2 linked regions of the Oryza sativa Japonica Group genome follow. The main gene of each other region encodes a partner of the protein of the gene in region 2 in a complex. Links are inferred from orthologs where the notes say so. Each region holds a gene or a part of one and is shown on either strand. Other genes may lie near its edges. The genes, in order: dolichol-phosphate mannose synthase subunit 3 and dolichol-phosphate mannosyltransferase subunit 1.

The links.
Region 1: dolichol-phosphate mannosyltransferase subunit 1 (region 2) and dolichol-phosphate mannose synthase subunit 3 share a complex: the UniProt entries of both Arabidopsis thaliana proteins name them as parts of the dolichol-phosphate mannose (DPM) synthase complex. The link is inferred for Oryza sativa Japonica Group from reciprocal best matches to the Arabidopsis thaliana genes DPMS1 and DPMS3.

Annotation. Positions count from the first base shown.
Region 1 is NC_089036.1:31,991,752-31,995,575, forward strand, and holds dolichol-phosphate mannose synthase subunit 3, read right to left. Parts: upstream 2,292-3,824; 5' UTR 2,163-2,291; intron 1,780-2,162; 5' UTR 1,761-1,779; coding exon 1,659-1,760; intron 1,564-1,658; coding exon 1,456-1,563; intron 1,083-1,455; coding exon 1,023-1,082; 3' UTR 654-1,022; downstream 1-653. UniProt on the Arabidopsis thaliana protein: Regulates the biosynthesis of dolichol phosphate-mannose. Regulatory subunit of the dolichol-phosphate mannose (DPM) synthase complex; essential for the ER localization and stable expression of DPMS1.
Region 2 is NC_089037.1:35,602,573-35,607,044, forward strand, and holds dolichol-phosphate mannosyltransferase subunit 1, read left to right. Parts: upstream 1-1,370; 5' UTR 1,371-1,556; coding exon 1,557-1,666; intron 1,667-2,255; coding exon 2,256-2,355; intron 2,356-2,461; coding exon 2,462-2,495; intron 2,496-2,575; coding exon 2,576-2,652; intron 2,653-2,751; coding exon 2,752-2,777; intron 2,778-3,076; coding exon 3,077-3,241; intron 3,242-3,322; coding exon 3,323-3,437; intron 3,438-3,562; coding exon 3,563-3,667; 3' UTR 3,668-3,885; downstream 3,886-4,472. UniProt on the Arabidopsis thaliana protein: Transfers mannose from GDP-mannose to dolichol monophosphate to form dolichol phosphate mannose (Dol-P-Man) which is the mannosyl donor in pathways leading to N-glycosylation, glycosyl phosphatidylinositol membrane anchoring, and O-mannosylation of proteins; catalytic subunit of the dolichol-phosphate mannose (DPM) synthase complex.

The sequences.
Region 1 (3,824 bases), on a different chromosome or scaffold from region 2:
TTGCAGGTTGATTGGATTTGCTTCGTTGCTTTTGCTGGCATGGCAGCTGGCCTTGTCATCTACTCATACAAGCCTTCCTTCTTCATCTGCCATTGCTTCTGAACATGCACATAAGATACATACTTCATTCATACCAAAATAAATCAATTTCTGACCACAAACCTACACATAAGGAATTGATTTATTTTGTGACGGAGGGAGTAGCAACCAGCTGTGACGATGTCACTACTCACCACTGAGAACTCTTGCAAGCAGGGGCTCCAAGGAGGCGGAGAGTCGGAGACGATGATGAACCAGCCTCCAATAAGGAGGTCTCGTCGTTGGTTGCTACTACCTCAAGGTAGTAGTAGGTAGGATTCTGTCTGCTGCATCTGCACACAATTGTGCTGTAACTGAAAATGTTTTACTATGTACAGTGTGATAGCTGGTTCATAGGGGCAAGGTTTGGTGTGAACTGTGATGATGTGTGATATTTTTACTGTCAGATAAGCAAGATAGGGTTAAGAACTAGCATAGGTTTACTGCATAATTTAAAAGTATACGTGTATCATGTCTGATTTTACTATTGTTTTGTAATATTGGTCAAGGCTTCGTGCCTGCCTGACAAGTTGTAATGCAAAAGATTCAGAGAAATTTCTATGGACGATCTGATGTACAGAGTATTTCAGGCAGTCGGTTTCAGCACTGTGCCAGGGACAAGGTAATATTACACTGCACAATTGATACATAACCACTAGAGGGAAATCCAGAAATGAGGAGACAAACACCCTGAACAGTAATGCACTTGTCAACAGACCATTCCTACTTCACAATCATATTTCATTTTCCATAAAAAATATTTCCTAAAAGAAAAAGGTCTTAAATTCAGTATGTAACAAGGACTCACCATGAAAAATTGTGTTAGCAAAATGATCATTACGAAGTGACATATACCTAGCTATAAAGCCCCCAAAACAACTCATATAAGGGAGCACAAAGTTGTCCCCAAACTAGCCTCAAGTCATCTATCATCGATCTTGACATTATTCAGAGCCAACATCAACACCTTTCTTTGATAGGAATTCCTTTGCCTCCAAGATATCCTGCAAATTAAGTAAATACAACTGAGAATAGACTAATAATTTCTTTGAAGCAGAATGGAAGTGTGAATTATCTCAATATCAGTTGGGTTGTTTCCTTTGAATCATGCAACGGCAATTGCGAAGATTTTCATGTTACCATAGTGCAAACTGCATACTTTAAAAATATTCATTTACATCACATAATAATACCTTGAACACCCATTTCTCATATCAACAGAGAATAAAGGGGGGAGATAGAGTAGGAAGTCGAAAATTTTCACTGGTATATACTAACTAACATCTTCAAGTCATAGAAGTCCTAGTTTCAAACTAATTAAGATCATCATAGGCCCATGCACAGAAATTTTAGGCTCATGGATCTAGAACAACTAACCTGCTGTAGTAGTACAGCTTCTTGCGGGCAAGTTGGGAAGAACATAAGCCCAAATCCAACCATAAAAAGGCCATAGCATCCAAGTGCCACTACCAAGTAGATGGGAAGCTACAATAACAAAAAGTCATAAATAAAGCCCTTATCCTTAATCATCTTGCACTACAATCATCAAGGAAATTGAGATGAAAATTGATAGCACTGACCAACCAAGTATAACTTCGAGGAACAGTCGCGGTTTCAAGAAGGGCAATCCAAATAGCTGAGACTGCCACCAGCATAGCAATTATCTTGAATATGTGCTTCATTTGGGAAACCAAGTGTTTTCTGCCAAGATAAACCAAATGAGAACGGCAAATAAAATGTGCCCGAATGTTACAGTCTCAAAAGATGAATTGCAAGCATAATTGCACTAGCAATTCAGTATGCTAGCACTAAGGCAGACCCATGGCGAGTAGGAAGTCCAGCAGACTTAGCACAAGCATGAAGGGGCGGATCCAACTTGGGACACGGGGATTCAGTTGAACCCCTAAACTTTTTGGGGAACAAACAAACTGTTACTTGTATTAAGGTTAAGGCTCTGAAATTAAGAGAAGATATTCTTCCAGATCTAGAAGAGAAGCTAGGGTTAACGGACGCAAGCAAATTCCAGACAAAAGTACTCCCGGTGGGAGAGAGAGATAAATCGGAAAGAGGATGTGGATGCTCACCAGGATCCCCTCCCCTCCCGCGCCCTGCTCTGCTCGCCAATGGAGATCGGCGCCCCTCCCCTGTTCAGCCGCGAGATGGCGCAAGGAGCGGAGGCGGCGACGACGAGACGGGAGATTTTGTTTTACGCCAAGGGAAGGGGGAGATAACGGAGTGCTCCACCTTTTATCTCAAAATTTTCACTTTAAAATTCTTTACGATAACTGGTAAACCACTTGCCAGCAGTACTCACGACGATAAACTTCTTGGATCCCTGGCAACTAACTGTCGCTCTATACACCAGCACCACACCATCGTTACTCCACTCTGCCTTCGTATGCGCAGCCATACACTTTAAATCTCGACATGTATTTTCTCTTCCCTCATTGTTATACATGTTATTGTCATGGTCGTCGTTAAGGATGGGATTGTTGGGCTTACAGGGCTCGGGGAGGCAGGAGCCAACCCAACAGAAAGCGAAGATGCTAGATTTGGACTCCTCCTTACTATATCCGACGATTCCCCAATTGTCGAAGGAAAAAAGAAAAATGAGAGAGAGAGTTAGTGTGCAGAGTGATTGCAGAGTCACTGATTTGGAGGTGGAGCGATGGTGGAGTCACCGGACTTGGAGTTTGATGGATAGAATGAGGTGGTCCAAATTGTAACAAAAATGTAAAGTTCGTTTTTGTGTAGATAAAAAGAATGTTTAAAGGATGATATCACATCAAAACTTTTAAGGATACATGTACAAATTGTAATTTATTTATTTTTCTCTAGCACAATTAAATATGAGTTATCTATTAGCAATAGTCTCGTGCTATGGCAAGCCCACTATAATTTGTCTCCACGGTATGATTGGAGATATATTGAAATATTATGTGAATTATGTGGGATGATGATTAAACATGCTTGTATTAAAATTAATAAATTATAAAATTATAGATAATATAGCATGCTTACATGATGTTTAAGATGTAATAATTGTTAGTGGATGATGATGTTATGCTTTTGTTAGTAACCCTCTGTTAAGTGCTATAAATAGACTATTTTACCGATATGAATTGTTGAAAGATGAATAAAAATTTTTACTCTTTTAATCAACGTAAATAATTTAGCGTAAAGAGCAAACTACAAATTAGTGTAAACTAATGGAAAGAGTAAAAGTTTTAGTGAACTTTTAATAATTTGTAGGGGTAAAATGATTTTATTACAACACTTTACATAGGAATGCTAACGAAAACTCAATAATGATGGCATTTCTAAGGCAAAAACGCTTGTACTTAGAAAGTTAAGTTTATCGATGACATTTATTAGATTTTCTCTAAAATAATTAGATTGTGCTTCTCAAGCGCATGAAATGCTTAGCAGACGCAATGGATTTGGAGGTGGTTCCGGTTGGAAACCGGATCCTCTGAGGGACGTCCGACCATGCTGATTCGTTCGATCGGCATCGGACGGGAGCGATGGAACACAGGAACGAACAAGCTAAGCTGTCGCGGCCCACGTAAGAAAAATCGGCCCACGAAGAGGCTTGACTGCCGTCCGCCCGTCTCCACTCTCGACACAGCCGGAGCGCCGCTGGAAGGGGAAGAGAAGGCAAGCGCTGCCAGTCGAGCTCCGGTGTGAGGAGGTCGCAGGAGTCCCGGGTTGAAGTGGCCTTGGCTTTGTCCGGATCTTCCCTGCGC
Region 2 (4,472 bases):
TGCAAGACGCCTGATGGCCGAATGCTAATTAATGCCAGATGCCTGACGGCCAAACACTAATTGCAATCTGCATCCCACAACTTAATTTATTAAATTGATGGATTGCTTTCAGATTAATTAGGGGTATTGGGCATTTTGTTTATTCAATTATGTGCACTGCCACAACTGATGCTTACCGTTTACACTATAATCGGTAATCGGCAGTCAGCCAAGTCCTTAGGTAATTAACTGATAATTGCTTTGTAGAATTAATTTGTGTGATCGGCAGTCCACCATGTTTTTAGACATTTCCTGAGGAAGCATGACTGATATGATACTTGTGAGATGCTTAGCAAGCAGAATTCATAGCAAGTAAAATTATCTCCTAAACAAGAGCAAATAACATAGCGAGACGAGAGAACCAACTGACTAAACATTTGGGGCCCCGTATCATAAGCAACCCTGCCCAAACCCTAGGTAAACAATTTTATGACCCCAAAATAATAAAAGCACAAAATCTTTATTGTTTGAGGATTTAGGAAGAGAGGACATCACCTTAACCTGGAGTCTGTACTGCGTAGTGCCGTAACCCACCACAGCTCCCCGGCGGGCGCACGCGAGGAGGAGCCGGCCGACGGCGATCCCAAAACTCCAGAGGCCACGCGCGAGGAGGCGGCGGCGGTGGTGGAGAAGGCGCCAGCCGACGGCGAACCTGACTCACCGGCGGCCGCGAGGAGGCGGCAGCGGCGGGGTAGGGCGAGCGTCGGGCACGCGCGAGGAGGTGGCGGGGTAGGGGGCGCGGCTGCGGCGGGTGCGCGCTCGGAGTTGGCGGCGGCGCCCGGCGGTCCGGCGGGCGCGTGCAAGGAGGCAGCGAGCGGCTCCGGGAGGCGGCGACGGGCTAGCGCACGGGAGAGAAGTTTTTTTTTTCTTTTCTGCTTCTTTCTCGTGATCGATCGCTATATCGCTATAACCGCTGCTAATCGAACGTGGGGATGGCTAATTGCAGAGGTTGATCTAACTTTTGATATAAATCGTTGGATGAATATATTTAAAGGTCAGTAAAGATAGGTATTTGATGAACTCGTGCTTTTTATATTAGTATAGATATAGATGACGATGATGACCGTTTGAATGGGAATGCTTGCTTATGTAAACTGAAACGGTCTAGACTGGAGTTGGCACGAAATGCGGTGCTTCCTGTGATTGGCCTGTCCATTCTCCATTGGATTGCATGGTTGGTCTTTGCCAAACCATACCGTTTCTCTTCTACAGGCGCATACAAAGCGTTTGCTTGTCATGGGCTAGACACGGCCCATGGAAACACGTCCATGGTCTGGATACGGCCCACGCTGCGGCCCTATACATCTCAATGGACCTTGCGGTGGCGAAGCAACTCCTCGACGAGACTTCACGCCGGCCGCCCTGCTCGTCGTCGCCGGCGGCATCTGCGGCGCGCGCGCGTCATCCTCATCCCCAGCTAAGTGGCCTCACCGTCACCGAGCGCCCGCGTCGGATCGCGTGCGGGAGAGAGCGGGGGGCGGAGAGATCTGGTGCGAGGTCGAGTCGGGGCGCCGGCGATGGCGGACGACGCGGGCGGCGGCAGGCGCGAGTACAGCATCATCGTGCCCACCTACAACGAGCGCCTCAACGTCGCCCTCATCGTCTACCTCATCTTCAAGCACCTGCCGTAACTCCCCCCATCTCTCCCATCTCTATCCCCCCATCTACTGTTGATCTGTTGCTCTTCAGTGGATCGGAGAAGGTTGTTGTCAGATCCGGATTAGCCATTCTTTTAGATTCAATTCGCGCCTCTTGTGATTTCACAAGAACATATGGAAAGTATAGAAGACGATTACTTATTGATCCAGTGCAATTGAGACGATGTGATGATTTGATCACTTTCAGATTTTAGCTATGCTCTCCTAGACACCCTTCATCGGTGCTCCTGAGTGCAGCTAACTTGCTCAATTGTGCTAATAGAATGCTGCGAAGAATGTTACTTTGCATGTTGCTTGTGTCAAATGGGCAGATAGAAATCCATCCAACTCTTTGAATTGAGTGATTATTTAAGAATGCCACCAGACAGCATGCTTATGTTCAGTCTACAGTATATATTTCATCATCGATTTATACTGCTAGCGTTCCATCAGTATTCAACTCATTATGCCCGTGTGTTCTGCAGCCCTGTCCCTGTGTCTCTTTATGACAAGGCAGTTTTATTTATTTTGTGAACTCTTTCGAGTTATAGTATCTCAAACTTTAGATTTCCTCATCAGGGATGTCAACTTTGAAATCATAGTTGTGGATGATGGAAGCCCTGATGGAACTCAAGACATTGTAAAGCAGTTGCAGCAAATATATGGTGAAAACCGTGTTGTAAGTATTTTTGTATAGTGCTCCCTTTTGTCTAGGTCTTTATATATATATGATTTGTCTTGGTATCATGGCTTCCTGATATGTGTTTGATCTGACATGAGACCAGCTGCTGCGAGCTAGACCGAGGAAGCTAGGACTTGGTGAGCTCCTATCCTCCATTCAAGTCTAAGGTGAATTTAGTCTTCACATTTGAGTTAACTAACAACTGGAAATGGTGCAGGTACTGCATATTTACATGGACTAAAGCATGCCTCTGGGGACTTCGTTGTTATCATGGATGCTGACCTATCTCACCATGTATGTAATTCCTCAGTTTTTCTTCTATCTGATATTTGGCATGCTTAAGCTGGTGTTTTCTTCCTTTTTGGTTGACGCCTTTTTTCCTACTCTGAACAGCCGAAGTACTTGCCAAGCTTCATTAGGTAAGCATCTTATCTTTGAAGATGTATTCAATCCAGAATTTTCTTTGCAAAAATAGTCTGCTATAGCTCATTTTCCTCATCAATATGCTTTTGTCAACTCTAAATGGAATTGGTATAGCCGTATAGGTATTAAATACTTTAGTGTTGCTGAAAGATTGTTTGTGTCAGATGTTAGAAATATCTGAAACTTTAGAGCAAAGTCCATTACAGTTGGACTCTTACCAAGGCTACTACACTGATAAGAAGTAACTTAGAAGAACCTTTGCCCTTTGGGTTAATTGTCCTCTTTGCATCACCAGGAAGCAAAAGGAAACTGGTGCTGATGTTGTAACTGGCACCCGTTATGTTCAGAACGGTGGTGTCCATGGTTGGAATCTCATGCGCAAGTTGACTAGCAGGGGAGCAAATGTTCTAGCACAAACATTACTACAGCCTGGAGCTTCTGATTTGACTGGATCATTCAGGTGTGTCTCCTTTTCCTACAATAGAGTAAGCTCCACATAACTACTATTAAATTGATGCAACATTGCGACCTGATTTCCTAGGCTATATAAACGGAATGTCCTAGAAGATTTAATCTCCTCGTGTGTCAGCAAGGGATATGTTTTCCAAATGGAAATGATTGTTAGGGCTACCAGGAAAGGTTATCACATTGAAGAGGTAGATTATGTATTCCCATTTCTCTTTGTATGATTGTATTGTTTTTTTTTTGTACCTGGCTATATGGTAGTATTGTTGGCATGCTGCTTCTTTGAATGCTGAAAATTGTGATTTATATTTTTCAGGTTCCAATAACTTTTGTCGATAGGGTTTTTGGAACTTCAAAACTTGGTGGATCTGAGATAGTTGAGTATCTGAAAGGCCTTGTTTATCTGCTGCTCACTACATAGGGAAAAAACCGCTAGGCGCTTAACTGTATCAGACACAACTCGTGATAGAGGAACTTCAATTTGTTATATCTACAGTTTTGAGTTGCGTGAATTACTGATTTTCTGACTTGCCAGTGGGTTCTCGTACAGTGTATTTGGTGTGTAAGTACACTTTCATGAGCAAGGGCAAGAACACAATTGTACCATCTATATATGAACTGCAGAGAAAGCTTTGGGTACGGTTGCTTGTGTTCTACACTTTTTTTAGGTAAACCTCAAAGAGGACTGGGAGCAACTGTTTTCATTGAAGAAGAAGAGACTTGGCCCAGTTTAATATCTGAATGAGTATGGTTTGATGAACGAGACTCTCATGGTCTGACTCGTACACGAACTAAGCAAGATTTATTTGATTTCAGTGAGATCACCAGGATATCAGGCATTTGTTTGGACGTGTTACCCCTGGAAAGTTGATTTGGGCGGATGATCATTCCTGCTGGAGTTCATCAGATCGGTAAATAAAACGGCGAGACACAAACAAGAGAGAAAAGGAACAATGACAAAATTTCCTACACAACCTTAAATGGAAACTGTGGCATATAAAATGGCATCAATGACACCCATATGTTGGTCGAAATATTTTCGTAAGCATAAAGAGGAATAATAATCATGAGATCTTTGCATCTTACATCAAATCAAAATAGCATTCTGGAGATCTTGAAAGGTCTGCAAAAACAATCCCAGGAAACATAACTAGTCTAAAGACAACTCATCTCACAAGGTGAGTGTTTATCTTTAGGTTTTCTTTTGTTGTGTCTGACATTCTAGA